Alligator mississippiensis: one gene and its partners. The protein of the gene in region 1 interacts with the protein of each later gene in a pairwise test. Links are inferred from orthologs where the notes say so. Each region holds a gene or a part of one and is shown on either strand. Other genes may lie near its edges. The genes, in order: ABI3, HOMER3, EIF3H and EVL.

Region 1 (8,102 bases):
AGTTCACTTCAGACAAAGAATTGGGGCAGGGGGCTGGACTCGATTATTTTCCAAGGTCCCTTCCAGCCTTATTGTCTATGATATCTATGAAATTCATACAGCCTTTTGAATCTATGTGGAGGGAAGGTGATTAAACCCTTGGACTTGGGCTTAGGAAACGTGGGTTCAAATCCTGTTTCAGCCATGGGCACCTGATGAGGGGCTGAGCCAGTTACTGAACCTCTGTGCATCAGTTTCCCCTTTATAAAATTTGGATAATGTTCCTTTGTCTATTTAGAGTGAGCAGCACCCATCAGCAGAGACCCCCAACCTCAACTCTGGCTTCCTGTCACTGACAAAATGCAAATGATATGATCAATTCAGAACCATTCTTTATTGCCATTTGATGGAAGGCTGTGATGCTTCGGTGGCCAGGGAAGGAAAGACGCTGACCTTTCTTTCCATAAGCAGGCGCAGGACAACACTGGACTGACCTGGGAGGCCCCTTCCTGCCCCATGAGACCCTAGAACAGCCCTCCCCCAGCAACTGTCACTGAAACCTGATGAGAAAGAGCAATAGGGAGGAACTTCAAGGTCAAAGCCACAGTTCAGAGACATAGGGCCTTCATTTCAGGGGATCCTGCCGCTTCACAGGTGTGTGGGCTGAGCAGTATCAAGCAGCCTTCCTCCCCACATTTCCTGTCACATGCATTGCAATGAGGACCATTTTCACCCGTGCACTGACCTGTAACATCTTTCCCCATATTAATGTGTGAATAATGTACCATGCTTCCCCTTTAAGCAAAACATAAAATCTGTCTGAAGTCATCAAAACAAACACTGAACAAATACAAGGGGTCCTTTAGTCTTTTCCCACCATATATTTCAGTGCCTATAACCACAGACCAACAGGATGACTTCACGGCTAAGATACTGGCTAAGACTCAAAACATGTAGGTTCAATCCTTGCCTCTGCCACACACTCCTTGTATGACCTTGGGTAAGTCACTTAGTCCTCCTGGACAAGTCCCTAACCAGAAATGGAGATAATGGTTCCTTGCTTGGTCAGTCTTATCTATTTGAATTATAAACTTTTTTGGGGATAAGGCAGTCGCTAGCTATGTGTTTGTAAAGTACCATAAACAAGAAGGTCTTTAAAAGCTCTTGTAAGACAGTTCCAAATATGGGCTTGTCTGGTATCCTTTCAGAGACACTGTTCTGTCTCTGGGCTTCATATTGCTGCCTGGCATGGCATTTTTCATGTAAAAGCAGAAGGGAAATCCCTAGCAGGATCCTACCAAGGGAGCTATCCCCTGCTTTGTTTTTCACCCTTTGCTCTGGGCTATCCCAGGAGTTGCCACAGCTCGGGCCTGGGCTGTGCTTTACTAGGACAAGAGAGATCTGATGAGTTATATTTTGCAGTCACGGGGGTCATTACTTTTTTGGCCACATAAGTCTGATCATGCCTGCTCGGCAGATCAGTAGCTGTTTGTCATTATCAGCAAAGTAGCACCCACAAACCCCAGCTGAGATCACACCCTCCTCCACTGGATGCCATACAAACCCATAACCACTGTCTTCACAATGGGAGAGGTGTGTTCTCAGTTCAAGCTTGTGTTCTCAGACAAGGCGGTGTGCCATTTTTGCACAAGTTAGCTAGCTGAATTAGAAAGGAACTGGGGTTCAGATCCTCAAAGGTACCTAATTCTCACTGGAGCCAAAGGGCATTAGACACCTAGATCTCTTTGAGAACCTGGGCCAAGGCTCCAACTTGAGTGAAGAATGCCCTTTCTCTCCACGGTGCAGACAGGGCCATAGTGTGGGAGTTAATGCACTAAAATGTTGACAGTCTAAAGCAGTACTTCTCAACCAATATGCCACAGCATGCACTTCTCTGAGATGACAGCAAACCAGGGGCAGAGCCAGGATGAGAACCCAGGGATCACACTACAGCCCAGTGCAAACTCACTCCCCAAAGCTACAATGATTTTTCTGTTATGCACAGGCTACACAACACCCCTCTTAATCTTCTGTACGAGCTGCCTTTCTCCACAGCCTCACAACCTCCAGTGACTGCTGCACCTGCTGTTTCAACAAGCTGCCACTTGCCACATTTCTTCCTTTCCCAGGCAGATGTCCTGGCTCCTCCTAGCCCCAGCCACCTCCCCTGGAGCCACAGGGCACAGCTGGGCATGCGGAGGCCAGCAGGGACACACTCACCTGCATGTAGTTGTTCTCACAGTAGTCAGCCACTTTGTGGAGGTTGCTGTAATTGTCCCGCAGGACCTGTCTGGCAGAGGGGATCTCATGCTGCTCTAGCTGCTGCAGCTCAGACATACTGCTCTGGGTTGCTGCTTTGCTCTGCTCCTCTACCACTTCCTTCTCTGTGAGGTCTGCTGTCTACACAAGAGTTTTGAACCTTGCAGCTCTCAGAGCCATTGGCTGGGGGCCCAGTCACACTCGGAACTGGCCTCCACCTCCCCTTTGCATTGTGGAGACAAGCTGACGCCTTCAGCATAAACCCTCAAGGTTCACTGTGATCATGGCCTGTCATCCAATTGGCTGAGTTTGAGGGATCCCTGCCCCAAAGCCTTTGCTAGCTGCCCTCACAGCACAGTCTGCATCCAAAGACTATCACAATGACTGAGGAAGAATAGGAAATTGCCACCCGACACATTGTTCTAGACCTGTGTCTGTGTACTGGACTCCCCCACCTTCCAGGAGGCTTGGACTCAGACTGGATCGCAGTGCAAAAAGAGGAGGCAGTCCCAGACAGGTGTTAAAGCAGAGCCGATCCCCTCAGCCTGGGTCCGGAGGGACGAGAATCGATGGAGACAGCAGCACACGCTAGCAGACATGCTCCAGGGACACTCCAGGGACCAGGGTGAGAGCAAAGTAGTGGTCATAGAGGATGTGAGTCATGCTTTCCTGAGGCAGGGAGAGGGGAAAAGTGGGGCTGAACTTTCAGGCTGCCTCAGGCTCCTCAGCCTGCTCCACTTCTGCCACCTGCTTGCAATGTTTGGTCCAACAGTCATGACTAAACCAGATGTGGTCCTTGAAGCCTCCTGATAGAAACACAGCCTCACAGCACAGCTCTGGAGCAAAAGGCTTGGCCCTTCTGAAGCCAGCAAGGGGAGAGCTGAGGGCAACAGCAATAAGGTCCTGGGTTGCCTGCCACAGTGAGCCCTGCACCATCCTCAGAACCAGCTGGAAATCTCCATCTAGCTCATAAACAGGCTCAGCCCTGCTCTTTAGACCTTGATTGCATGCTGCACAGAGGGAACCTTATCTAACTGTGTCTTCACCTGACCACAAGCAAGGACTTAGCACACTTTACATCCAATCTATGCTGTAACATGGAACACCAGGCTCTTCCTCGCTGTGCTGTGCTGGCATTGTGTGCCCTGCAGCTGGGGCTTCTTCAAGCTTGGGCAAGTCCCCGTTGGCATGGAGCCCACTTCACCCACAAAACAGGCAAGATGAAGGAGGATATAAAAGGAGATTCCCCAAGCAACCAGGAAGGAAGTAGATAGGGACAGTGAAGAGGGAAGTTTGTAAGCAGTTCACTAGGAGCAAGAGGAAGAAGGAAAAGAGGAAGAAGAGCCAGACACCAGATCCTGCTCCTGGAAGGTAAGTGAGCTAGGGCTGTCTGTGTGTTTGGTTTGCTGCATGAATGCCACGTGCCCTCAGAGGCTGGGGATGCATGGCGAGCTCCTGCAGGCAGTGGCAGTGCCAAGCAGGAAGCTCCCACAGGCAGCCACGGCGGTGTCAGCAGCAGCAGGGGGGAGGGTGGTGAGCGCCAACCGGTGGTTGGTGACCACTTGCAGACACTGCTGGCAGCGGCGCCAGTGGCGATCACAGACCACCCGCAGTGTCGGCAGTGCCTTTTTGCAGGGGGTGCACCACCATGCTCAGGGAGCGTGCATGCACCTGCATGCACCCCCTAGGCATCGCCAATGGTTTGCTGAGTGTTTGTTTGGTGAGCTGTGTGTTTGGGCATGTGCTCTGAGCAGCTGAGAGCACTGCTAGCTGGGGGATTGCTGCCCATGTCTGACAAAAGCCCTAATAAGGGGGTGGAGGCAGTCCAGGCCCAGGAGGGTATAAAAGTAGACTCCTAAGTGACCAGGGATAGCAAACTGGGCAGTATGGAAGGAGTTTACTAGGAGTGAAAGGAAAGAGGAAGCAGCACCAGATCTTGCTCGTGGCAGGTAAGTGAGCCAGGGCTGTCTGCATATTTGGTTTGCTGAGTGTTTGTTTGGTGGGCTGTGTGTTTGGGCATTTGCCCTGAGCAGCTGGGAGAGCTGCTAGCCCGGTGATTGCTGCTTGTGTCTGACAAAAGCCCTAGTGAGGGGGTGGAGCCAATCCATGCCCGGAGGCTGTAAAAGAAGACTCCCTGAGTGAACAGGAGGGATGGCAAACAGGGCAGTTTGCAAGTCCATTCTTTCCTGGCAGGGGAGAAACCATGAGGTGACTTTCCACCCAGGTGGTTTTACTTACCTGGCAGGGCAGATACCCTTCTTCTCAGCCTGACTCGGTGTAGTTAGAGAGGGCAAAGCCCTGTCCTCTGTCCCTGACCCCTGCAGGAGTCTACAAATGCCTCCAAATGCAAGAATATCAGCTACACAATTTATGGTGATGGGGGATTGCTCTTGGACTTTCCCTCTAACTTCCTCCTTTGCCCTTTTGGGTAAGGGCAAGCGAGGCTAGGGGGCATCTGAACTTCAAGGCGACCAGGCTTGGGGCTTGCATGTAGAACGCCTGCTATAGATTTGGGCGTATCTGAAGTCTCAGGCAGAAGAGTTTGGGAAGTATTATACGTGCTGGAGGTAGCACCACACAGACTTGAATGATTGAGCTCTGCTGAGTCAATAGAACTCCAAACTGATTTGGCCCAAGACATGACATTTAAAAAAAAAAAAAAAATCAGTTGGCAGGTCAGTTTGCTGGCCCCCTCTTTGAAGGGGAGCCTTTAATTAAGCACTCTCTTTAATTAGGAGTAACTAATTTATATATATTTAGCATAAGTATATTAAGCATAATACTTAAATTCCTTGTTTAACTAGAGTCCAGAGTGAGGGACAGCTTGCTAGGGAGTTTACCTGGAAACTCTCTCTTGCCTTCCTTTGCTGTTAGCTTAGTGAGAGGAAGCAGGTTAGCAGGCAAAAAGGAACCTCTCAGGACCAAGGAGCAATGACCAGGCTAGCTTACAGGAGAGTTTGCTAGGGAAGGTCTGCTTAAGGAGAGATGTAGGAGCAGAGGCGGTAGATTAAGAAACCCAGAGAAATGGTTGGAGGAAGTTGCAATGCTAGAGCCACTGCCACCGCCAGCTCTTCCTTTGTTTGCACCTGTCAGGCATCTGTCCAGGCAGGACTGCTCACAATCAAGTCTTCCACCCAGGTCCTGGTTTGGCACTGCATACACTGTGGCTTGCAGACTCCTTCCAGTGACAGCCAGGTGACGGAGTGCCTGCAATGTAAGCAGTACCTTCTGGTGCTGTCCCTCAGGTGCTGGGAGCTAGGGCAGGCAGGGCAGCCATTGCTGGGCTGGGAGAGGGGCGGGGGATGGGCCTGGCCTGGATGATTTGGAGATTCGGCCGCTGCCAAATCGCTGAATTGAATCGCTGTCCTCCAAATCGATCAAATCCAAAGAGAATACTAGCCGCTTCGCACAGGCCTAATGGCAAGGCTCTGAAGCATCCTCTGCCATGAGGACTTCATCAGTTCAGTGCTGGAGGATACTTCTAGGACTGTGGAGGGAGGACTGCCAGAGGCAGCACTAGAAGGGAAGAGGACACAGATTCCCAGAAAGATGGAAGCTGGAAGTTTGTGAGCTCTGGCAGCAAGCAGAAATGTTAATCTCCACCTGCAGTGGTTTGCCTAGAGAACAGATAGGGAGCCCTAGCAACAGAGGAGGAGGAACAGAAACATGTCCCATTGGTAGAAGAGGCCCCATCCCCAAGTTTGGGAGGATTGAGACTAAAGCCCCCATCATGTCCCAGCCAGCCCCTCTGCAGCATGTTGAGCTGGGTTGGAGGAGCCCCGGGCTGGCAGGCTGAGCCCCTGGGGCCCCTGCCAGCTGTGGCTGCTCCAACCCAGCTCAATGTGCTGCAGTCCTGGGCCCACATTCAAACAGCATGCTCAGGAGCAATCATGCTGGAGCTTATTACTGCATGCTAATAAAACATGTAAATGCACCCAGTGAGGATTTAATTGCAATCTTCAACTACCTGAAGGGTGGTTACTATGAAGCTGGAGTTAGACTCTTCTCAGTGGTGGCAGATGACAGAACAAGGAGCAATGGTCTCAAGTTGCAACAAAGGAAGTTTAGGTTAGATATTAGGAAAACATTTGGAGGGTAGGTAAAGTACTGGAGCAGCCTACCCGGAGAAGCTGTGGAGTCTCCATCCTTAGAAGCTTTTAAGACATAGCTAAACAAAGCCTTGGCTGGGATGGTATAGTTGGTAATGGCCCTGCTTTGAGCAGGGGGTTGGATTAGATGACCTCCTGAGATCTTCTCCTTTCCAAACCTAATTTTCTATGATTCTATAAAGTAGTACAGTTTTTACCTTGGCCCTGAGTGAAAATACTATAAGAAAAGGTCTAAGAAGGATCAAAGCTTGAGGGAGAAACCAATAATAATGATAAAACAGCCCAGCCTGAGAGCAGCATCCCATGGTGCTAGGTGCTGTACAGACCCTCAGACAAACCATTCCTGTCCCCCAAAAGCTTGCCAGTTTTTCAAAGCCCTTTTGCAGGTGTGGACACCCAGAGGTCCCTGGGGTTGAGGCAAATTTCAGACAGATGAGCCAGATAGATAAATATCATACGTTTTCCAGGGGGAGAGTGGCTAAGCAGTCACCCAGGGCAGTGCTTTACCTAATAGGCAACTCTCTCTGACCTGAAATATATTCTAGAGTCCTCCCTAACATGGTGTGGGCATCTGCTGGCCTGTTAGTTTATGCTCCTAAGGGAGCACATTGTGCTGTCAAGTAGCCATCTGTAGCTGAAATGTGTGTTCAGAGGCTGGTTTCACAAAGGCATACAGCCTGTCCTGACAAACTCTATAGCCACGTCACTTGTACCATTAATCTCCAGCAAGACCAAGAGCCCAGGCAAAGAGTAAAAGCAGTCAACTCCCTCCCCTGCAATCCCAAGGGCTGGAGCCTTGCTTCCTGCTTCAGCCATGCCTCCAGGGCAGTGTCAGGCCTAGGGTAAGAACAGGGGTGGGCAATTATTTTGGGCAGGTCGCTTACTGAGTTTTTGCAAGCCATCGAGGGCCACATGACAGGCAGCCAGGGGCAGATAAATATTAATTTTCTAAATTTTTTTAGGGGCCCCACGGGCCAGATAAAATGGCCTGGTGGGTTGCATCTGGCCCGTGGGCTGCATTTTGCCCAACCCTGGGTAAGAAGGTACAATTCTGTTACACTCATGTTCCACCTTTGGGAAGACCTTTCACTGAAGAAGTGATACAGATAAGGGAGAGAGGGCAACTGCTGCCAGGGGGCTGATCTGGGAAGGGAACATTTATGTTCATCTCTGACAAGGAAGGCTTCCTTGATGCTAGTCCTAGCTCCATACACAACCACATTTCTGCTATCACTGCCCCACTGGTTTTCTCATTGGTCATGGAATGTCACTTCCATGAGGTGCTCTCTTCCCTGGTTTGCCCCATCGTGGCTGTCTGAGGGAGAATGAATGCACATGCCTAGCCATCTGCTCACATTCAGCCCTCCAGTCAAGTTGCACCAGGAGTGAGTTTGGCCCATGATGAACAAATGAAATCTGCTGGAAGGTGGTTAACACTCTGCAGTTTTCACCATGCACATAAATTCATGGTGAAAACTGCATGGGGGTGGTTACTCCAGGCCAAGGAAGTGCTGGGCTCTGTTGTAACTAAATGAACAGGCCTGAAGGTGATCGCTTCATCTGCATGAGGGTCCACATGGGTGGAGAGTCCTAATGAAATGGACTGAGCATCCTGGTGTCCAAAGTCCTCCATCTCTGGAACAAACAGAACAATCATTTTTATGACAGCCACCAAATCAATCCTCAGCCTACTGTGGAAGACCATTGTTGTCATCAGCCAAGTGATGTCATTTAACCTTTCTCTTCCTCTGCTGA
Region 2 (8,512 bases), on another chromosome or scaffold:
CCCCTGCAGAGACCTCGGTGGATGCCAGCCTGTGAAAGGCACGGTCCCGTTCTGCTCACAGGGGATTGTGCAGGTGACCTGGGAAACATCTGCTTTTTGGGGCCATTTCCATTTGTCACTCACTGACTCTTCTGTCGATACGCTCGCCTCCGCCAGCCTTGCCGCTGGCTCCTGGGCGGCGCTCAGCGCAGCAGCTCCGAGGGCTGCAGAAGGGGCTGGGAGAGACCGTGCACGCGAGAGAGAGCTGGCTCCTTCCTGGACCTCAGCCCGCTGCTGCGCTGAGTCAGCAGGGATGCGGTGCTGGAAGTGCCAGGGACAGGGCTCTCCCTCCTGCCAGTGCGCAGGACCAGGAGACGGTCCGCTGGGCAGGAGCATGGGTGCAAGACCGCGCCAGAGACAGCATTCGACTGGGACGGGGTGAGATTCTGGCACGGATCTGATGGAAAGCCCAGAGTCTCTGCGGCCTAGCGGACTGCGTGGCAGGGAGCGTACGAACTAATCCTCCCCTCTCCTCCTTCCCTGGTGTACCCTTGGCTTCCCGGTGAGAGATTAACCTAGGAGAGCTTAGTACAAAAGCAGCTCCCCCCAGCCTGTTTGCTGCTAAAGGGCACCAGGGGAATTGCACTCCTGTCGGATTAGTCGTGGGGGTGGAACGCGAGTGCAAGCGTGCAAGTTCAGACCCAGGGAAAGGAGGACCTGGGCGTTAAAGGCCCAGCACCGTTATGAAGCATTGCTTTTCCTGGACACCTCTCGCCACCAGGCCCGGGTCCCAGGTGACGAGGATGGCTCTGCGGCTGGGTGCACAGCGCGTGCCTGGAACAGTCCCCGTGCGGGGACGGACGTCTCCACTGGCTCTCCCAGTGCCACACACGGACTGGAGCCTTATCTGCACGGTGCTGGGAAGTCTTGAACATAGGGGAAGCAGAGTGCATTTAAGTAGTGCGTAGCCTAACCCAGAAAGCTAGAGTCTGGGCAGCGCTGCTGACAGCTCACCCTCGTCCCTCCAGTGCTGGGCTTCCAATGCCCCCCCGTAATAAGCATCTACGAGCACCCCGCTGTGCTCTGTGCATGTTTCTGCCTGCGTGCAATCATTTTAACCACAGCATCCTCAGCCCTTCCAGACATGGATGCCTGCTCAGTTCAGTGGGCGCAGCTCCATTCTCCTCTGCTGCCGTTTCAGTCCTGCCCCTGAACAGCGCAGCCAGGGCTCCTGAAGCATGACCAGAAGCCTCTCCTCTCCGACGCCCATCCTAGTCCTCCCTACAGCGGAGACTGCTGTGTCGTCTGCTAGGTGGAAGTGCGGACGAATGCTCACTGCAGGCGCAGCCGGGAGGTAAATGCATTTGCTTCCCTTGTGATCCAAGCAACGTTTGGAAGTGGACTCTTCCAAAGAAGAGGAGCCAGCACTTGAAAACCTACTGTGCAACGGGGATACATTAGAGTCCAGGAACAGGCTGTGCGGGAAAGCTACCCAGAGATACCAGAACGAGCATCAGGAGGACATACAATAGGCAAGATTTAAGAGTCACTGGTGAGGGGTAAGGACTGAATCCTTACTTCAAAATGAGCTCGCTTAAATCAACTGGTGGAAAATGATTCAAAAGGGGATGCTCTGTTAATGCCTTGGGAATCCAGAGAAATCTAATGCCTGCAGATGGCTGCTCAACATTTCCATGTGAACGATACACAAGCACAAAGGCATTTCAGTTCAGAAGGTCTATGCAACTAAAAACAGGGGATTTGGGATAGAAACACCACCTCCACGGTAACAGCAGTGCTGCTGCTGCTGCTGCAACCCTGTAATTAGAGCGAGATCTAAGAAAATATCAGGATGACATCGAATCAACCTTTTCTGTGGGAACTGGCAGGCCTCTAAAGAAAACGCAGAGCTGCTGGGTGTAGTCGTGATGACTCCAAGAAGGATTCATCTAATACACCTGGAGAATAAGGCGCCAGGCCCAACCTATGCACCTGAAACACCCTTCCTGGCAATCCCCAGGCTGAAGTTTTGGATTCAAGGTAGGGATCACGGAGACATGGGGCAGTTTCAGATTTCGAGTGGGACCAGTGTAAGCCCCACAGGCTTCAGTGGATTTGCTCCAGATTCATACTGGTTTAACTGAGACCTGGTTCTGTGCCTCTGCCCCTTCTGCCACCCCCATCTATATTTCACTCTGTCCAGTAATTCTTCCTGGGTTGCCTAAAACAAAAATCAGAAACTCAGCAAAAGAAACACAAGCCAGTGAACTTGCCCTCTAGTCTCACACTGACAGCTTGGGGGGATCTGGGGAGGCCGGGCTCCTCCCGGCCCAACGTGCTTCTGAGTGGCCCAGAAGAGTTCATTACAAAGCAACTCGCTCAGAGCAACGTCAGGGTCTTAAAATTACACGGCTGGGGTTTATTACCAGCACATTAATTAAACACCAGGCTACAATCTCTTTTTCATGCCCGTGCCTTCTAGCCACTTAAGCACAACATATTTCACCCCTGGAAGATTTTAGGGGGTCATAAACTTAAACTCACGTTGGAGATTTCCAATCAGACTCCTCACCCGCTCAGAAATGCAAGCAGTATCCCAATTACTGAGCACCAAGGTCACAAGGGAAAAACAAAACCTGTCCTTTTTAACTTGGGAGAAGGTGGCCAAGGGCTGTTCCTGACTCCCGCTCTGGACCCCAGGGCCCCGTCCCTGTATCCTGGTACCTGTCAAGAAGTTGCCGAGATTTGCAGTTGTCTACTTTGTGAACCCTTAAACTTTAGGGCTGCTTTGTACTCTTAAACTGGCATTTCTTTCTTGATGGCAACCTGAAGCCCTCATCCCCTCGGCTCGGATATACCTTAAAAAACATGTTGGGTTATTTAAACTGGTACGAAAACAAAAGATACACGAGTAATAATCAAAATGCCTGGCTCACCCCATCTCCGCCTGGGTGTCAGCTTCTTTCTTCTTGGGCTTCTCTTCGGCCGCCTTAGCTCCTCTCCACGTTTGATTTATTTTTCCCTTCCTCTTTCTTTCTCTCTTTCTCCGGATCCGGATGCTCTTTAAATTTCCTCCGGAATTTCACTTTGAAATCCGCTAGTTTTGTTGCTTGTTCAAAATGACCTATAATCCCAGAGGGCGTGGGGGAGGAGGCTGGGTGAGGTCCCGAACACCCTCCCGAGGAGAGGTCTTCCCCACCGAGAGCGGCAGCCCAGGGGACCTTGGCCAAGAACTTTGGAGCACACTTTGCTGCTGAGATGTTGCAGCCTCCGGCCCGCAGTGTCCTCCTCTCTCCTGCTCGCAGGATCCCTTCCTCCCTTCAGCATGGGGAGGAGAGCAGCAGCAGCAGCAGCAGGATTATTCACTGCTTTTGCAATCCCTTTAAACAATGCTGCCCACTCCCTTCTACTCTAGGCGACTGATAAACCCTGGAAGTTTTTTCCACAGCCCAAAAAGTAAAGCTACCTCTCCAGTTGATCCCTCTTGATTGCGATTTCTTTGTTCTCTCTTTTTATCCGCTTCCTTCCTCTGCCAACTGCCCCATCTCGGTCACATTTCTCTTTTCTTTCTCCTCACTTTATTTCCAATGGGTTCCAGCTGGCTCAGAGGCACCACCTGCCGGGCACAGCTCACATCTACACCCGCCGAAAAACCAAGCTGCTAAATAAGATCAGCACAGCTCCAAGATATCCCAACACACCTCCTTTCCCGGGGCTTCGCCCTTATATTGTAATCTCGTACATACTACGGGTCTAAGCTTTGACCAAAGGGGTCTGAGCAGCTGCTGCCTGCTCCAATACAGCCTGCCCCTTCTACCCCAGGTATCTCAAACGTGTTCGCTAATACTTTAGAAAAACAGCACGTCCCTTTTATTCCAGTCTAGGGAGTGGTTTCCCTCACCTCCCTGCGTGGGCCAAATTCTCCATTCCTTTGTATTCTGGGTGGACGTTTGCACCTGTGCAAAGCGAGGCTGAGCTGCTATTACATTTGTAAGGGATTGAGGGATTGGGGGAAGGGAAGTTTCTGGGAAGCAGAGAGAGAAAACACTTGAGGAGTGGGGTGGGAAATCAGCTGAACGTGACCTGCCAATGTGACACGACGTCAATCCTTGGATGTACAAACAGGGACATACGGACACACTATATTTCCCCTGTATTTGGCACTGCAGCAACCACTTTCTGGAGTGATGCATCCAGCTCTGGTGCCTACAGTTCAAGAAGACAAGGTTCCTTGGACCCTGTGTCCTGAGACCAACACGGCTACAACCTACACCCCTCAAACATGCAAGAGACACTTCAAAAAGGAAGTTTAAAAAAATTGCAGAGGGCTGAGGGAAGGATGCTTTAAAAAACTGGAAACTGTGCCTGCCCGGTAAAAGATTATAAGAATTTGAAGAATTCAATCTGCTCCTAAAGTTGCAAGTCTTTAGACTTGATCGCAGCCCATAAACCTGGACAGGCTTAGGTTAGAAATAAGGTGCAGCGCTTTAGCAGCGAGAGTTATTAACCAACCGAACTGCTCATCTAGGGACGGGTGGAGACTTCATCCCTGGGAGATGTTGAATTAAGGTCAGGTGTCTTAGCAAAGGATGTGTTCTAGTTCAAAGAAGAATTAATTCCAAGAAGGCCTGTGTTACACAGCTGGCTTTTAAATCTGTGACCTGGGGTCTTTTGCACCTACTCTGCACAGGCATAAATAACAGAACTGAAAATGGAGACTGGAGAACTGGTCCCGTGGCAAAAATGTATAAATCAAGGGAAGGTTGGGTGGACAGATAGATAGACACATTTGACTCTAGGGATAGAGATAGGCAGCCCAAAATAAGCACTAGAATCTAGGGATGGAAATAGATTAGATGGTATTAAAGAAAACATATCTTCCTGCACCTAATACGCACTTTAGGAGTACCAGCAAACATCTCGTGATTGTGCTCCAAGGCCCTAATTCACATTTGTTGTACAGCCACAACAGGCCAGCTCCTCCCCTGCTGTAAATCCATTGACTCCACCAGGCTAACGCTGGGGATGAATTTGGCCCCAAACAGTCTGATGCCTTTGTCCTCAGGCCGTGGATGCCACGCAGCTTCCGTGAGCTGCACCAGTGTGAAATGGGCAGCACTTTATTCTCGCCTGTCACTAACAGAAGTGACTATGCCCGGCGCAGGATAACAGAATTGGGGCCTTTAGGTTTGTTTCCCAGACATCAATATAAGAGACCATATTGAATCAGATAATGGAACCAAATCATCCTCTTCAGTGGGCAAATATCTATGAAACTATACCCACACTTTAAAGAAAATGGAGTTGCCACCACATTTGAAGCAGCGACAGCTGCCTGACCTTGGGGATCACTTTGGGGGCTGAAATGTCAACTGCACCTGCCCTGGCTCACCTGGGTGTTCAGTGCTACAGCTGTCCCCTCCTCCTCACCCTGCTGTCTTGCTACCAGGAGACCTCTCTACCTACCTAAAGAGTGCCTAGAGCACCTCCCTCTCAGGTGTTTACAAGCTAAATGCAGGTAGAGTCTCAAGTTCTGCCTCTCTGCAAGGCAGCACAGCGGAGTTGACTCTTCACACTGACCCTGCCGCACCTGCAGCCTAATGACTTGCAGGGAAGAGAAGGCAGGAAACAGGACTTGCCGCTGCTCTTCTACTGAGCTTTCTGCACTATCTCCAGCAGGCTGCCAGTGGGGTTTCTGCATAAAGCAGCTGCTCTCTGGTACCATTTTCCTTCTGTTCCAACCCAGCCTCCAAACCTGCAGCATCACAACCACGCAGCTGCTTCCATCGGCTCAGAAGCAGCATAGTGCACAAAGTACAGCTATAGACTTGGGTCCTGCTGTGAACAGCCCTGTCTTATGTGTTATGGCCAAAGGAAAAAAAAAAAGATCACATTTTTCCTCTGACAGCAATGGCTGCATTAGAAGAGAAAAAGCCGTTCTGTCTGTATTCAGTTCTGGCACCTCCTTTTGCAACCCGGTCCAAGTGTAAGAGCACATGCACATGCTTAGCATTTGCTAAAGCAGGCAACAGTTGTGCAAGCTTCTCATATTCATACGTCTAGTGATGTCCTTAAACCTTGGCTCCTGGCAGGGAACTAGTCCCGACTTTCCCTCCAAACCCAGCACTGCCAATGCACTCGAGTCATGATCAAAAACAGTGCTGTTTTCTGGGCTTTCACAGTGCCTCAATCCTGACCTAACACTTCCCACTAAAACTAAAGCCAGGCCTCTCGTGAACAGACTGCCAATAGTGCTGAACTGTGTGGTGATTGGAGGAGTCCAATCCCATTTTTGCTTGTGATTTATTAGGTTGCCTACTTTAATAAGGAATTTCCCCAAGAGAGTTTTCGTTAATCTCTGCCAGTTCTGCACATTAATTTCTCCATGCCTTAATAGCTTCAAGACAATGCTGTTGCTTTCACCAAAATAGTAAGTTATGTCCGAGCAGTTTTACAAGGCAATGTGGGTGTAGCAGCCATTCTTCCAGCCCTATTCACGCCGAAGCCTTTGAGCAGACGACAAGCACCAGGACTGCCTGAACTAAGACCGTAAGCATTTTGGGGCGAGGGACTGACTTTTTGTTGCACTTTGATGCTGACCAGCCAGATGAGGCCGATACCTGATCTAAATAATATGTACCAAAAAGAACAGCAACAATGCCTTCACTCCTCACCTTCCTCCCTTTGCCACAGTAGCCCTCCCACCCGTATTTCCCAGGATTTATAGGAGTTATCTGGAGAGTTGTCATCTTTCTGATGCTGGGGGGCCCGGTGCTGAGAGGCTGTGGGCAGCTGCCAGTGTTATAAGTGGTGTCAGCTAGACCGATCTGAACAAGGTCAGATTTTATGGTGCTTGGAACAGGCTGCAGCCTTCAGCGCTGATACTGGGGGAGCTGAACCAGGGGAGGAAAAGATGGGAAAGGTTTCTTAGCGCACATGAAGCCACAGCCAGAAAAGTCTTGACAACTGGGGACTAGTGAGGGCAGTCTGGGTGCTGCTCTCATCCGCTGGACTCCAGGACTGACTCCCCTCACAGCGCCAGGGCTGAGTTCAATGCCAGCACAGGACTGAATTGTGCCCTTTCTGCTTTTGCTCCATTTTCTCTGCCCTTCTTCTGCACAACATGGCCACCAATGACAAAAGGACTAAAATAAACTGCACTGAAGACACCACTGAAAGTAGGGCACAATATCTTTCATATCGACCTGCTAACAGTGGGTTATCTATGGCTCTTCTTAGAAGCTAATTATTTTACACATTTAAATTAGGATAATTAGATCAGCAGGAATTGAACTGAAATCAGATGTTAGTAGCCTTATGAGGATTTTCTTTAACAGGGTTTTGTGCTCTATCTGTCCCTCCTCCTAGCGAGGAGGGGCGGGGGAAGTGTCCCCTGACCTGAAGAAAAGAAAAGAAACGAGATGAGATATTTTGATCACCACCCATGTCATTAATTACGCGGCCTTTGTCAAGTCTGCGCCATTAATCTTAATGGAGCTCTTTACATAAAGCCATTCAGAATATAGCCAAGAGCACACACTGCCAAAAGACAAACCGAATCCTGTTCAAATCACTGGCCAAGATACACACCTTTGGTCTAGCTTTTTGCATTTTACCGATACCTTGGGTGACTGCAGTCAGACAGTCCTCAGCAGTATGGTGTGCAAGCAGCTGTTCAACTTCCTCATTTTCAGCTGTCCATTTTTATATGCAGTTCTCATGTCCTCACCATGCTCCACATGACTTAGTCTTACACAGAAGGCAGAGTATTCCCACCTTTACATCCTTCCAAGAAAAGTGCCAATATTATTAATGCATTGATTAGTATCTGAAAAAATGCCAGACATAAGAGATCTGGGAAGGGAACTGAACAGTGCTCGCAGCTTTTAGAAAGTTTCAAGAGCTGGCCCCTGCTTCTGTGGTATTTGCATGTAACAGTATACATCAGAAGGCCTTGTACAACGCACATCTGTTTTAAAGATAGTCTGATCCACAGGAATAAGAATGCATGAAAAGAGAGATACTCTCACTCTCCGTGTAAAAACACTTCAATCCAGTTGTGTTACATAGTCAGAAGGGTATGTTAAATGACATTTACTTGGTCTCTTTTTTTCTATTTGGCTATAACGCACGCACCAAATTGGTTTCCAAGCATCCTTTTCAATTAATTTGAAAGTGGGTCTGATGGTACAGCAGGGCAGTACTTCTGCACGCTTTCCAGATGGACTTCAGCTTCCAGGGCTACTTGAGAACAGAGAAAACAAGCTGTGCATGTTTGGGAGTGCAGAACCGGCCTTACACTTTGTCTCTGGTGTGTGAGAGAGACAGAGAGAGCACAGCCTTTTGTTCGGGGATTTCAGTGCTGGAGATCCCAGATTATCCTCCAAACATGAAGACATTAGAAGCATTAATAAAAAAAAAAAATTGGTTCAACCAAATATGCTGAGCAGCCAAGGGTTTTGGTACCTGAATTCTGGCCATGCTCCAAGGCAAATCAATTCACAGTGGCTATGTGGTACGCAAACTGGGTCAC
Region 3 (7,918 bases), on another chromosome or scaffold:
GAACAGCTTTTTTGTGATGCTGACTGCGCAGTAGCCCGAAACTACTGCACAGCAGCATTGTCGCAGTTTTTGCCGCACAGTGCTACTGCACTGTAGTCACGGGCTACTGCGTAGTCAGCATCTCATGTAGACACAACCACTGATTAGGAAATGGTAAAATCTGTGACTGTAAAGGAGGAGGAGGAAAAAAGAACAGCAGAATAAAAGCAAGAAACTTCCAACTAAATCCAGAGAACTGATTGGCAAGATCAGGGGTGCTAAGTCTAAGGGAAAAAGAGTGCAGGAAACTTGATTGTTCCTTAAAGAGACAATATTAAGAGAATGAAGACACATGCTCTCCCTATCTACAGGAAGGACAGGAAGTGTAGCAATAAGCCTGCTTACCCAAACTGTCAGTTCTTCAATAAGAGCTGAGGCTTTAAAAGAAGACTTATACAAAAGAGAACTTTGGCCATGCTAACAGGATGAATATAAGAGTCTGAACATGTAGGGGCAAAATCCGAAATGCCAAGGCTAGCAATGGATGTAGAATTAAAAAAAAAAGCATTCCTTAAATGCATTATAAGTAGGAAGGAGATCAAGAAAAGTGAGTTTCTCTTAATGGGAAGGAGAAGCTAATAATGGATGATATGGAGAAGGCTGAAGTGTTTAATGCCTTTTTAACTTCAGTCTTCACAAAAAAAGGTCAACTATTCAATGACAAACACAGCATCTAAAACAGTGGAACAGGTACTCAGCCTAGTGTGGGACAGAATAAATTATAGATTATTTACATAAGTGAGATGTTTTCAATTAGCAGGGCCTGATGAGATTCATCCTAGACTACTCAAGAAATTGGCTGAAGTAATTGCAGAGGAGACTGAAATGTGCATGTATGAAGCTCATACAAAAGGGAAAAAGGATGACCCACAAAATTAGCAACCAGTCAGTCTCATTTTGATACCTGGAAAGATACGGGAACATATTATCACACAACTGATTGTAATAATCTAGAACAGGGGTGGGGTAGCCAACTTGCAGAATAACTGCCACAAGTGGCACTGGCCGCTTGTGTGTGTGGCACATGGCAGATGGGGAGGGGAGGGGGACAGGCAGCACAACAGTTGATAGGGGAAGAAGTAGAAGACAGTACAGCAAATCAGACAGAGAGCAGAGAATAGAAAGCAGAGAAGCAAATTGGGCAGAGGAAAGGATCAGAGTGGCACTCAGGGAGGGTGTGAAGCTAATTTGTGGTGTGCCTGCCAAAAAGGTTGCCCCCACTAGAGGTCCACCGATATATTAGTCTCGTATGGTAGCGGCCCCGATAAAAGGAAAATTGACATTATCGGCAATCAACTTTTCTTGGCTGATGTGGATGATAATGTTGCCAATAAATGCTGCATGCACGTGCACAGCCACAGCAAGCCCAGCAGTGTAGAGAGCAGCATCCAGTTGGTAAGTCTTTTGTGGGGGAAGGGGCATGGGGGAAGAAAAGGGTGTGGTGGGGGGCAGACCAAGGCCTCTGTGGTGAGGGAGTGGGGCTGGGGCAGGCGCTGCCCAGCCAGAATGGACCAAAGCATGGGACGGAGCTGGGGAGTGTGTGGCTTCTGCTGCTGCATGCACCACAGGAAGGCATGGGGGACATGTGCCCCCTGGATCTGTGCACAGGGCAAGGGCGAGCTGCCACTGTGGGCTGGGGCTGCAGGCAGCGCCAGGCTCTTCCTGGCTGGGGAGGCTGGGCTGGGGTTGCGCTCGGAGCGGGCGGTGGTGGCGCTGGAAGGGGGGCTACAGCCACCCCAAAATTCACTGTAGCTCCTTTCACAGTGCCACTGTCACTCACCCCAAGCACAGCCTGGCCCAGCCCCCATGCTGGGAAGAGCCCCAGCTCCAGCCCACAGTGACAGCCCACCTTCACCCTGCGCACAGATCCAGGGAGGCACATGTCCCCCATGTCCTCCCGGGGTGCGTGCAGCAGCAGAAACAGCCGTCTCCCTCCCCCATGGATGACCTGCAGCTCCATCCTGCACCCCACCCTGGTTATGCAGTGCCTGTCCCTGTCCCAGCACCATCCCCAGCCCTACTCCATCCCTCTTCACAGGGGCCTTGATCTGCCAGCTCCACACCCCTTCCCTCTCTCCTTCCCCAACAGACTTAACAGCAGGATGCTGCTCTCCATGCTGCTGAGCTGAGTATTGGCTGATATGGCTCATTAAAAATCAGCCATTGGTATCAGCCCCCAAAATCTCTACCAGTGCACCCCTAGCCCTCACTGATCTAAGGGATAGCAGGCTGATAGGAAGCAGCCAATATAGGTTTCATAAGAACTAATCACGGCTAATCAACCTGATTTCCTCCCATGACAGTAGTGCTCACTGTTTTGGCAGGGGGCAACAGGCACTGAGGGGGGTTATTTGGATGCACATCTTGCTGGGGTTATTTGACCCCAGCAGTCTTTCCTGCCCAAAGCAAGGCAGGGGCTGGACCCGATGATCTCATCAAGTCCCTACCAGCCCTAAACTTCTGTGAATCTGTGGGGGTACAGGCATCATGGGGGAAGGGGAGGGGGTGAAGCCACATGCCTCCCCACCCGCCCCCCTGCTGCTGCAGGTTAGACATACATTTGTCTGGGATGGTTTAGAGGTCTTTTCCATCCTTAGAGGTCTTTGAGACCCAGGTAGACAAAGCCTTGTCTGAAATGATGTAGTTAGGGATGGTCCTGCTTTGAGCAGGGGGTTGGACTAGGTGACCTGCTGAGGTCCCTTCCAACCCAATTTTCTATGCCCATTTTCACAGCCCATTTTTCTATGAGTTATACCTGTATATGCCTAACATACCATAACATCAAGCAGAGAACGAGATAACTGTCCCACAAAAATGTGATGTCACCAGTCAGCGGATCCATCAGTGAGTAGTGAAAACTATCTTCCTACCTGCATTTTTGGCTTGAGAGTGTTTCTCTGAAGTCTTTACTTTGTGGGCATTTATATGCTTGATTCCAGATTAAGAACACCTTTGACTGCAAACTACACAACATTTAAAAACACCTGTAAGTTAAATCATGTTGAATAACTGTATACATTATGTTAAACAAAATGGCAAAGTTTTCATCTCCTTATGTTGCAATTAGGTGCCCTTTGGCATTGCCTTTTAGCAAGGACCAAAGCCAGGATGGAGGATCTTTCTGATGCTCTTTTGAACACTGTATTTGTTGGGGAAAGAGAACATATACATTTTTGGAACGGCCAGACCCTGTGCAGAAGAGGGGGAGCAGTCTTAGGAGGGACGTCTTGGGTGGGGAGAGGGAGAGATCTCTTGGTGTGAGGCAGGGGAATGGATGGGCTTGGGAGCGTCTTGAGTGGAAGAAGATTTCTTATACCTAGGGTGACCACATGGGGCAATGTGAAATTTGGGACAGTGTGAAATCCGGGACACTGCACCCCCACCCTCCGCCTCTCTGCTGCTGCAGGCAGAGGCAGGGCACCATTGGTATTAGTATTCAGACAGCTAAGGAGTCAATGACCCATTTATGACCCACAGTTTTTTTCACAGGTGTTAACACCCTCCTTTTTAATGGTCATTTCACAATTAAGCTAACCTTATTAGTGCAGGGGTTCTCAAACTTTGTCATACTGTGACACTGAGTGCCAGATGGTGGCGGAAGTGGATGGGGAGCTTGTGTGCGGCAGCTGCTGCCGCCATCCAGCACTCTGCACCGCCACCGTGCACCATGTCCCTGCACTGCTGCGTGTACCCTTGGGAAGTTTGCAAGCAACCCCCTTTTAAGTTGCTCTCAACCCCTCAGGGGGTTGCAACCCAGTTTGAGAACCCCTGCATTCGGGCAATTTTGCTGCTAGGGCTTCCTATTTCACAGCTTCTACTGCTCCAGCTTGTGCTCTGCACACAAGACGCTCAGCTGGCCAGGTTTGGCCTCTGGAAGGGAGAGTTCTGGATTTCAATCTGGGACCTACAATCACCCTACTTATACCTAAATGCAGATGGGATGGGGTTGGGGGTTTTCTCTGAAGGGTCAGGAGCAGGGAAGTAGGAGCAGGTGTCATGGAGCGCGTTCCCTAGATGCGGGGCATCTACTGTTGCTTGTCAGTTACTGTAAGAGCCTCTGTGCTTTTCTGGATGCAGCAGGCTGGATACAAAAGCAATAATAATATAATAAGGGTGATGAAAGCCAAAGATGTCTTAGGGCCATCTCTTTTATTAGATTAACCATGTAGTAAGGATAAAGTTAGGCGTTGGAAGGCCAGGCGCTATGATGTGATGGAGATGCGTGGGTCACCTCCTAGCACACCCCTGTCTAAGTTTGGAGGAACTGACTTTGGCTGCGCAGGTACCCCACGCACCCCGCCCAGCGGAGCCCTTCCCCGCTACACGGGGCAACAGCGCAGCTCCCCTCCACGTACTGCAGGCTGCGAGGCAGCAACTCCTGCGTATGCGCTACCAGCGCTCACACGAGCACGAAGCTTCCGTACGCATGCGCTCTTTGTCCCCGCTCCCAGGTTTCCGCCCGGAGTGCATTTGGCGGCGTCACATCCGGCCGCCCCACCCCGCTTCCGGTGCTTCCCTTTTCACTTTCCGGCCGGCTCAGGAGGATGGCGTCTCGCAAAGAAGCGGCTGCCGCCGGCTCCGCGGTCGCCAAAGTCAAGAGTAAGGCGGCGCCGGGGGACTCGGCCGTCAAGCAAGTGCAGATCGACGGGCTGGTGCGTGCGTGGGGCTGGGGCGGGGCGGGCCTGAGCTGGCGGCGGCCGTGTGGGAGCCTCGTGGGCCAGGCGGGGGCGGCTCCGCGCGCGCTGCGGCCTCCCAGGCCCCGCGGCCGGGCGCGACGCTGCCCCCAGGGCTGGGCTTTGCGAGGGGGCCCCGCGCGCATCCCCGCGCGTGCTCTGCTCGCTCCGCCCTCCCCCTGCCGACCCCGCGCCACGAGGGGGAGGCGTGTGCGACGGGCGAGAAGCAAGATCGCGGCACGGCCCCTTTTTAAGCTTACGATGCCGTTTGGCTGCAACAAGCTCTCGGTGCCGTCCCAGGACCCGGCACTCGTGGCCCGTGGGAGCCGGTCGCTCGGCCGCAGGTTGGACATAGCGTGGCCTTTTGTGGTACAGCGGGGGAAAAACAGACGTAGGAAACGAATCGTAGAAAGTGAGGGTGGGAAGGGATGTCAGGAGGTCACATCTGGTCCAGCCCCTGGTCAGAGCAGGACCAGCCCCAACTAGATCATCCCAGCCAAGGCTTTGTCTAGCTGGGTTTTGAAAGCCTCTGAGGATGGAGAGTCTGCTACCTCTGTGGGTAACCTGTGCCAGTGTTTTACTGCCCGCCTAGTGAGAGAGTTTTTCCTAATATCTAACCTAAACTTCCCTTGCTGCAACTTGAGACCATTGCTCCTTGTTCTGTCATCTGCCACCACTGAGTACAGTCCAGCTCCATCCTCTTTGGAACCAGCCTTCAGGTAATTAAAGGCTGCTACCAAATCCCCTCTGTCTTCTCTTCTCCAGACTAAATAAACCCAGTTCCCTCAGCCTCTCCTCAGGTCATGTCCCCCAGCCCCTCACCATTTTTGTTGCCGTCCGCTGGACTCTTTCTAATTTGTCCACAAGCTTGCTGTAGTGGGGTGCCCAAAACTGAACACAGGACTCCAGGTGTGGCCTCACCAGTGCTGAATAGGGGGGAAGAATCATGTCCCTTTACCTACTGGCAAGACACCTACCAATGCAGCCCAGTAAGCCATTAGCCTGCTTTGCAACAAGGGCACACTGCTGGCTCATATTCAGCTTGTTGTCCACTGTAACCCCAAGGTCCTTTTCCGTTGCCCAGCCAGTCAGCCCCCAGCCTGTACTGGTGCTTGGGATTATTCGGTCCTACAGGCAGCACTTTTCACTTCTCATTTGCATTTATCCAGCTTTTCTAAGTAGCCCCTAACCTAGGGGTGGCCAATTATTTGGGCTAGGAGGCCACTTAAGGACTTTTGGTCAGCTGTTTTGGGAAGGGGGTGAGAACTGCTGGTGCTGACCCAGAGTTTTGGTGAGCTCTTGTGGGGGGGGAGGGGAGGAGGGAGGAAGGGGTGATAACCCAGTCTTGACACCTTGTCACACTACCTAGCATGGTGAGGGCGGGAAAATGACAATTGATCTATCTGGCCCCAGGCCTGTTGGCTCTGCACCCACAGTCAGGGATGCTGGACAGAGTGGGTGGGCAGGGTCTTCATGGAGACTAGCCTGGGACCCTACAGGTGGGATGTGCTCAGCTGGACGGATGGGATGGGGTTGCAAGTGAATTGGGGAACAGGACAGGTGGGAGGAGCCAGGGCCAGGATCATGGGGTGGTGACAGTGTGAGGCCAGGGTCTGGGGCAGAGCCACAATCCCTGCAATGGGTGCCAGTTCTGTGGGCAGCGGCTGTCCCTTGCCTGCAGACCTGCTGCCCATTGCATGGATGTGACGATAGTGGATTACAGCTTGGCCCCAGCCCCGCACTGTCACCGTATCGCAATCTTGGCCCTGCTGCTACCTGCTTGTTCTGCTCCCTGATGCTGCTTCCTGTTCTCCCATGGCCCTATCCCATCCACCTGGCTGAGCGTGTCCTGTGTGCATGTCCTCTCTGCTTCATCTTCCCCCAGTGGTGGGTGTAAGGCAGATGGGCCAGGGTGCCTGGCCAGTGGGGCCAGGTCCAGCAGTGGCAGCCAGAGGGAGCTGCCATTGTGGGGGCTGCCAGGAAGCCTAGTCCTGCTGCTGTGCCATCTGACCCCATGGATTACAGCTCCTGGTGTGCTTGACAGCTGTGTGTGGGGATAGGGTAGGCTGTGCTCTGCGGTAGGTGGCACCTCTGTGCCTGGGGCTGGCAGGACTATCTGCACATGCCATAACCTGGGCTGCTCCCCAACCTTGAACTGGGGGGGACCAAGGGGCCAGATAAAATCATATTGTTGGTTGGATGCAGCCTGTAGGCCATATTTGGCCACCCTTACCCATACCTGTTCTCTCGCCACTGTTTGCTGCTCACATTCTCCCCAGACTGTGCTGCCAAGTACAGTAGTCCGGGAGCTGACTTTGCCTGTGAAGACTGAGGTAAAAAAGGCATTAACTACTTCAGTCTTTTCTGTATCATCTGCCACTAGGTTGCCTCTCCCATTCAGTAAGGGAGATTTGTGCCATCAACATTTTTTTTCCCTGTGGCCACAGATGTTTCTTGGTGCCATGGCTACTGCTTTCTCAAATTTCAAAAGAATAAAAACTGAGTAGTTAAGTGCATTGCCTTCAGCTTGGCTAAGCAGAATCAGAAATGTGAGAGGCAGATTCAGGTATTAAAACCGCTTTTGGAAAAGGAGTATTTTCTTGGGATGCCCAGCAATGTTTCTGGGGTTTGCCAAATCGGATCATGGACCACTCTTCACCTTGGTTCTACAGCGTGCTGAAAACATAAGGTGATGGCTCTTGCATGGAGCTGTGGGCACAGTCATATTACTAGCGCAGATCATTCATGTGGAGCACTGGTTCTCAACCTTGTTAGACTTGAGACACCCCTTGGAAAATGCCAGCTCTTAATTTTTGCTCTTTTATCACGACAGAGATATAATAGAAGAATTTTTTCATTTAAAAAAACTCAGAAAGATCATAATAGGTCAAAGCATATTTAACACTGCTCATTCCTGTTTGAAAACTCTAGGTTTATCTTGTGAATCATGTTTACACACTTAAGGGTACTGACACTGCATGGCTCCCTTGAAAGGAACTGAAGGTGCCCCAGGTTGTCAAAACACCCCGGTTGAGAATGACTGATGTAGAGAGTGGAAGGTCCTGGCATGTATTTACATGTGCTGCACCAGGCTGTGCCCATTTTCTCCTGTCTTCTTCCGAACTTGTTGTTGAGGGTCTGGCTGCATTTTTCCTACACCTTTTATCATATTTGCCTACCGTATCTGTGACCCCATTTGTGGGCTG
Region 4 (7,562 bases), on another chromosome or scaffold:
AGAGAGTAAAAGCTCAATCCAAGGTGAAATTCAGTTCTGTGCAGAAGGTCACCACCATTCCTGGGGCACCTCAACCCTACTTAAGCCCAAAGGGTGGATTTTACCTGCTGACCAAGCCAATTTGCTTCTGGCCTGTTCTGGATTGTCATATTTCAAATCCCCTTGCTCAGCTGCAAAAATTACCAATAAGGATGACAATTTTGGTTATGTGAACACTTCTCTACTGGATAAACTACCAGCATATTTTACATGAAACCACTGAATTGCTGTCAAATTGTAATAGATTATGGTACCTATCACTGCTTGAGCAACCTGGATTAGATTCAAACATGAGGAGTGGGATTCCTTGTTTGTCATTACCAATAATTATAATTGCCCAAATGTCCAACTAAGTCTGATTTGGATTTATTGTTCTATTCCACAATTACGGGTTTGGGTATGAGGTAGGTATTTATTTTCAGTTGTACTCTTCCCTGCTTACCCAGCTCAAACAAACGAGTTATCACTGAATTATTCTTTGCCTTTTGTGGTTTCTGATGCACACGGCTCCTTTTGTTCTCTCTTAGATACCATAAAGCCACTATTCGGTACTCTTACTCATGGATATCAGAAGTTGCAGTTTGATTGAGATCAGGGTTGCCAGCTATTTGTAAGTTTACAGACATTTTGTTTAAAAAAAAAAAAGCGATAAAAACACTTGTCTGGAAAAAGAAAAAAAAAAGAGAGAAAGAAAAGGCATGGAGCTGTCCATAAAAAAACTAAGAAACTATGAGCTTGATTAAAGATCTGTTATCAGAAAGAGGCTGGATGCCAGTGTTGATGGACAATGAGACCACAGCAACACCACTTTGTGTCTGAGTGGGTGAGCATCCTGCAGGGAGCTCTCTGTCAGGATTTGTGGGCCACAGGAGCCCCCCTTCCCGTCATGTGCTGCCACTGCATCCTATAGGCCATTGCCTGCTTGTAACAGCTGTTTGCCTCAAAGTGGGCAGGTCTGTGCAGTCTGAGGCACCAGGCAGGACAGGGTGGGTGGCAATGTCTGTGTCTCCTTGGGTGAGTCTCTTGTTCCAATGGACTGGGTAGTTTTGCTGCTGACTTAGTCTATTAACTGTTTGGGTTTCACTTGATGTTTAATGGTTAAGGTTTTCTCTATGGTTGTATGTTTATCCCTTGTTACACATGTAATAAACCCTGTTTTAGTAGAACATTACTTGTGAGTGGGAAAGTTTGTTCACTTTAGAACATCCAGTTACATTTGCTTTTCAGGTTTCTTGGTGTGGGCTCAGGCCAGATTTAAGAGTTGTTGTTAAACCCCTAAAGTCGAATGTGGCCCTTGTTACTGCCATCCGGAGCCTGGCAGAAAGGTTACATTCACGTTGCATAAAATACATCAGTTAAAGAATTGTATAGGTTGTCAGTAAAAAATAATAATTGTGTTTAGCAACTGTTTAAGAAGCTTCTGGCAGGATCATTCCATTCTTATTGATCCATAAGGCATTGACATTTTTGCTGCTCCTGTGTTCATTATACCTTTTAAAGTTATACAGACGATTGGGCATTCATACGCTAATCTTCATTGATGTAGACAATGTGACATGTATATGGTCAGATTTTTCCTCATCATGGGACTCTTCATTATTTTGTTTCAAGAAATTACAGTTACTTCCACTGTAGATCAAGGCTCCTAAATGGACGGTACAGAACTCTACAAGTAGCTGGGAAAACATTGGCTTGAAACTAAGGTAACTTGTTAAATGTCAGAATTTTCAGTAAAGGTCCACTGTTGCAAAAGCTTTCTGGAGGGTGTTTGCCCTTTACACCATCCTGCAGCCTGGACAGAGTGGCCATTGATGACCATGTCATGGTTTGAACAGCAGCTTGTTTCTTTGCATATTTGTTCATAGTGGTTGCAGCATCGAAAGTCATGACAGTGATTTAGCGAGCTCAAATCCAAGGGGGATATATTTTTTTAAATGCAATTCATTTTTATGGCAGGCATATCAAAACTGAACATTACACACACTGGCCAAGCTCACTTCCTCTGAAATCAACAGCAGTTTAGCCACTGTCTTCAGAGCAGGATTAGGGGCAAAAATTAGGTAGGCAACCCTCCTTCAGATTTTCTTTCTTTATTTCTGTGGGCTCTCTCCAGATTTAACCTTGACTTCGAAGCTGAAATCCTTGTTTCATTGTAGCTAAGGATGAAACTTCTATTGTTTTCAGTGGTGCCAGGTGGATTCCACTTCTGTGTCTAGGTATTTTACGTGCTTTCACCAGACTGTATTTTGAAGGAGGTGACTTTCTCTTCTGTTTGAAAGCTTCAGTCTCTTCCCTTCTTACACCACCTGAGTGGATCAAAAGTATTCACTTTTCATTTCACCTCTGCATTTTAATATGCATTTCAGAGGATAAAATACTTCTGTGGCCAAATTTACCCTTTGTTTACATCAGATATCAAAAGGGCATAACCAATGGGAAAATTTGACCTTGTGCATTCTAATTACTACAATATTGTAATGGTAATACAACTTTTTATAGCCGACATATCAAAACCTAACATTACGAACTGGCCAACCAGGGCATGTAATGTTATTATGACAGGAGTTTTTATTCCTGTTGTCACAACTTATTTTCTTTTACACAATCAAATTCAGTGTTTTTACTGTTCCTTTCGTACTTTCATCCCTAAAGAAAAACCCTCCTTGCTCCAGAAAAATTCAGTGCCAAGTTTTTGTTAAGATTCTAGTGGCGGTTGGCTCTCTTGGAGGCGTCTTCTTCTTTGAAGGCTCCTTGGGTTTAGGGTTAGCTTCTTGGAATCCTCCAATGAAGTGTCCTCTTTTACAGGTGCAGGTTCTGCCTAAACAGATAATGGCTTTGATCCTGTGTTTCTAGCAGTCTTAAGCTCCCCTCAAAGGTGGTGTGTGGCTCAGCAGGCAGGGAAATGACAGCTCTTTGTCTTCTAATTTTCCACTTTTTTTAGCAGTCATGCTTATTGACATAGGTTCTCTCTGGTTGTTACTGAAGAGCATATGATTCGTCTTTCGAAGCGTTCTAGGAGTGCGTCCTGCATCTTCCTGGGTTTTTTTTCCCCCTTTCTCTACATATAGTAGATGTAATTTTGTTCTCCATAGCCTGTGCTTGGAATATCTTTTAGCTCCAGTTTCTTGCCATAAAGCATTTGTACTTTGGTGGCATCCTTTCACACTCCCTTGTTCCATGTTTTCATCATGTGACTTCAAAGGCTTTAAGTTCTGTTACTGTTTTTGGGAAACTTTCCATTCAGATGAACATGTGTTCTCTTCATCTAAGAACTTCCCGGGGTGTTTTGGTCTGTGACTGGGCAGCTGAAGAATCTTGAATCACATGCCACAAATCACAAAATTGTCAACTCTTCCCATTTCTATTTTTATCTTATTTTAAAATGTGACTATTTGGCTTTTATCCGTCTTTCTTCAGTTGCACTCCTGTGATTTATTGGCATTAAAGCCTGAATTTGACTTGGCACATTCCACACATGTTGTTACAAATTGAATGTGATAGCAGAGAATTCAGGGGTGAAGGAGTTAAATGGTCAGGAATAGTCTGCAGTAGAAAAACTACTTAATATGTTCTGGCATTTATAGAAGGGGGGGCTTATGGTGCTAATCTTCTGTTGTGACACTGACAATTCAATATGCATAAAAAACACCATAAGATAATAAATATCACTGCAAGCTAAGAAAATCAGTGTAAATGGGCCTAATTAATCTATCAGATTGAAACATTAATACCATATGTTAGTTGGCTTTCTCTTTGTCCTCTGTGTGATTCTGATGTAAAATGTGAACAATCATTTAGCTACAGAGTCTGTCATGTAAAGTATTTGACTTATTTGGCTAGAATAATAAAGATACCGGGCTGTATTCTTGGAGTATACTGCATTAATCAGACTTGCTGGAATGATCACATGGTACTCTATCGCCTTTCCCTGTTAGCTGCTGCTTGTCAGCAGCTGGCTGAGCTGTAGGCTGCAGGCCAGTATCTGCATACCCTTTCCCTTCAGAATATTTGCAATATACTGTCTCTTAATTATGCATCTTGCTGCAGATTGACAAACTAAATGGTATTCCTGCACATTAAGAAGAATATTTTAAATTTCAGCGAATTTGTTTAGTTACTAGGCCATGTATGCATTTGAAGAATTCAGGTAGGCTCTCTGTTTTATACATCAGTGTGCTTGGTTTTTGTTCTCACAAGGTTTTTGCTGTGTAATGTCAGCCGGCTCTACAGTTAGTTCTTGAAGACGCAAATGTTTCTTGAATTTTAAAATATCTACCCTATGTGTTGTAAGGAATATCTAGGATGAAATGCAGGTAAACGATAGCTAACTGCATGATGCAGTGCAAAGCTGGATAATTTATTATATCTTGCACATATTTTATAGTCATATAACCAGACACTGCAAGTACAGTATAGAGTTATAAATATAAAGCAAACTGTTCTATTGAAAAGGTCTCTGCTATTTTTGGTTCCTTCAAACCTGACAGATGCTTGTTCTATAAGGAATAGACATCATGATAGTTAAGGGAGAAAATACTGATGTCTGGATCATATATGGGATTAGATTTTGTGCTGCTGCAGAGTATACATGCCATTTTCATAATCTTGTAGCTGCTGAATATCCTATGAATTGCATTAAAAATATAATCTGACTAATTTGGGGTTTGGGTGGGGTTTTGTTGGCAAACATTTGAAGTACTGTGATTGTTAAAGTACAAAATTAGGACCTTGTTGATTAGTGCTGTTCAGTAATGTACCTTCCCCCCCATACCTCAAATATGCATGCATCAAGGTCTGTTAAAATCATGACAGGCTTTTGAAGCTATATGAAAGAAAGCAAATAGAGGTACTAACATAATTGATGATTTAATCTGTAATGAAACTGTATTAGGGTCTATTAATTTTTTTTTGACCTTTCATGGGTCTTCACTTTTTTAGGTTTATATGGTTTCTTAACAGTCATAGCATAAAACTGGCCAGATAAAAATGGTGAAGTGTTATGACAACATCAGGGTCATCTTCTGCTATGTTGTCTTCCTATAGCAATAATTCTTTTATATTAATTTTATAAATACCCCTGAAAACACTGGCGGGTATGATATTACTTAAGTAGTATATAACTAGATGAGCTGATCAGTTTTGCATACACAATTGGCATTCTCCACCCAATTTTTTTTCTCTGAACTTTCAAAATTTCATACCAAATGTAGACAAGGTTGTCTGCTAATCTGTGCTTTGGCAAAATGACTAGGTTTTTAATGTTTTGATACTGAAAAATGTTTGGGGTTTTTTGTCTCATCAATTTCAAATGGAAATGAATGATGGGGGAAGGGAATTAAGAAATTGTCCCATATCCAGGTGTAAAACTGTGAAGAAATGAAGGCTTACAGTGAATAGAAGTTCTGCTGTTTGTGAAATGCAGCAGGATGCTGTTTCAGTAAAATCTTTTTTTAAAAGGATTTTACTGGAACACCATGTAGTACTATGTAACTGCAGTTGTCATAGGATTGTCAAGATATGATCACAAATTTTGATGCAGCCAATTGCTGACAGTAAATTAAGATGTAAATAGGCACCAAACTGACTAGTCATTATATATCCCTGTATCAATTCATAGCTATCTGTATTTCATCTATGGGATTTAAGCATATTATTAATACAGCAATGCTGTGATCAGATTGTTGCTAGAAAAGATACGCTTTTGAAGAGTCTACTTTAAAAGCTCTACCTGTTTTTTTGTTTTGTTTTGTTTGGTTTTTCTTGTGGTAGACCCATTCACATGAAGAGATCTCAGACAAAGACCTTTACTTAGTGTAGCAATGGTATTTAAATGCTGGTCTGCACACTGAATAAGACTTGTGAATTTTCTAGCCTTGTCCTCTTAGGCTTACTTTGAAAATAACATTGAAAATTGCATGTCTAAACTGTGAAGATATTTTAAGATCGTCCACCCATACGGGCTGTGGCGTCTGGTCAGTAGCCTTAAGACTTATATTTTATTTTACTAGGCATTTAAGTGGTGTTCCATTTTAGGTTATATCTTAAAGTTGGTCTTTTTTCAGCATTCTCCCTTATGCCTGGTAAATGTATTTCATTGTAATGAAACAATAGGATATCTTACAAGATAAAAATGTTTGGCCTAGTTCAGTATTTGGATAGAGAACCTGGAGCACCCAGGGGAGTGGTTCTCAACCTTTTAAAACACAAGGTACTCCTTCATAACGTTTCTGAATTTAGCAGCATCCAGTTGCAAAAACTGATTTTAATCATTTCTTGACTACATAAAAGTAACAGAGCAATTATTCTGTTGCAAAGAATTCAGAAAGACCACAGCAAGTCCAACTTTTTTGACATTATGGATTCCTATGTGAAGTCTCTCAGTTTATCTTGGGAATTATGTGTAGGTAGGTGTCTGTATACCTAATAGTGCTAATATTACTGTAACACCCCGAAAAGGATCTTATTATCCCCAGTTGAGAACCACTGATGTAGGGATGTAGAGTTGATGAATCAGTAGATGGCGCTCTTCTCTGAACGAAGGCTTAAATGGCATTAGAGGGCCCTAAATACCCATCAGACTCTGAAAAAGGGGTGCAGGCTAGCACTCTGGCTTAATTCCAAGTGGAGTGATTGCATTCTGTTTATTTAAGTTCCCCCTACAGTTTCAAGTTGATGCAGTGTTCTTCACTGGCCTAAATGGTTGTGGAGCATTGTGCGCTATTGCACAACTGTTGGATTTTTCAAGCGTTTCACTCCGGGGCTGGATGAAGTGACCCTGGCATGCTGTTTATAAAATACTTATTTGTGAAGTGCTTTGGGATGAAATATAGCTTTTGTGATGATGGGGTAATGAGCCAAGACTTAAGCCCCAGAGAAACAAAGGGATGAAACCTCAGTGAGAATTTACTAATTCCAGACGTGGCCCTCACAGGTCATGTTCTTGACAGGGAAGAAGGCATTAACTCCAGAGCACTGTTACTTCTTCCCTGAGAGTCGCAGTGACGCAAGGAGCCCTATGTCAGTAGTAACCTTGCCACTTTGCACCTTTTGAGGATCTGGTTTGTTGTCTTCATTGTTTGTTTCTTTTTACTGTGTCCAGAGGATCATTAGCCCCTGGTATGTTTTATAGTTTTTCACAAACTGGTTCTCTCAGCCTCTTACTAGTGTGCATGCTCTCAGCTTAATGCTCAACATCCTGTGAGAGCTATAGAAGATGCTTTTCCTTTGGCCAAGAATAGACTATACATTTATGCTCAGGCTAGATTAGTCTGTGTAGCACCAGGATGGTTTGTAAAGTGAGTGCATCTTTCATCATGCAGCCACAAAACCAGCATCTGTATGTTTCTGATGCACCTGACACCATTGTATTTCAGTGTTTTTAACAATGAACTTTCTATTTCTTAGGAAAACCAATAACCATACAAAAAGGACAGTAAGAGAAAGTCAAAATGAGCTGTTCCTGAATACAGCAAAAACCATGGTTTGAGGTATTAAGCTGCGGTAAAACACCTCAAAGTAGGCAT

The links.
Region 2: the proteins of ABI3 (region 1) and HOMER3 interact in binary tests that used the Homo sapiens proteins (3 or more experiments, as listed by UniProt). The two-hybrid records come from large-scale screens. The link is inferred for Alligator mississippiensis from reciprocal best matches to the Homo sapiens genes ABI3 and HOMER3.
Region 3: the proteins of ABI3 (region 1) and EIF3H interact in binary tests that used the Homo sapiens proteins (3 or more experiments, as listed by UniProt). The two-hybrid records come from large-scale screens. The link is inferred for Alligator mississippiensis from reciprocal best matches to the Homo sapiens genes ABI3 and EIF3H.
Region 4: the proteins of ABI3 (region 1) and EVL interact in binary tests that used the Homo sapiens proteins (3 or more experiments, as listed by UniProt). The link is inferred for Alligator mississippiensis from reciprocal best matches to the Homo sapiens genes ABI3 and EVL.

What each region holds. Positions count from the first base shown.
Region 1 is NC_081827.1:168,641,432-168,649,533, reverse strand, and holds the start of ABI3 (ABI gene family member 3), read right to left. Parts: upstream 3,292-8,102; 5' UTR 2,317-3,291; coding exon 2,200-2,316; intron 1-2,199. UniProt on the Homo sapiens protein: May inhibit tumor metastasis. In vitro, reduces cell motility.
Region 2 is NC_081839.1:1,368,923-1,377,434, forward strand, and holds the start of HOMER3 (homer protein homolog 3), read right to left. Parts: upstream 3,569-8,512; 5' UTR 3,446-3,568; intron 3,104-3,445; exon of another isoform or gene 2,916-3,103; intron 1-2,915. UniProt on the Homo sapiens protein: Postsynaptic density scaffolding protein. Binds and cross-links cytoplasmic regions of GRM1, GRM5, ITPR1, DNM3, RYR1, RYR2, SHANK1 and SHANK3.
Region 3 is NC_081826.1:24,947,324-24,955,241, forward strand, and holds the start of EIF3H (eukaryotic translation initiation factor 3 subunit H), read left to right. Parts: upstream 1-4,551; 5' UTR 4,552-4,583; coding exon 4,584-4,691; intron 4,692-7,918.
Region 4 is NC_081825.1:282,649,005-282,656,566, forward strand, and holds the start of EVL (ena/VASP-like protein), read left to right. Parts: upstream 1-4,148; 5' UTR 4,149-4,163; coding exon 4,164-4,186; intron 4,187-7,562. UniProt on the Homo sapiens protein: Ena/VASP proteins are actin-associated proteins involved in a range of processes dependent on cytoskeleton remodeling and cell polarity such as axon guidance and lamellipodial and filopodial dynamics in migrating cells.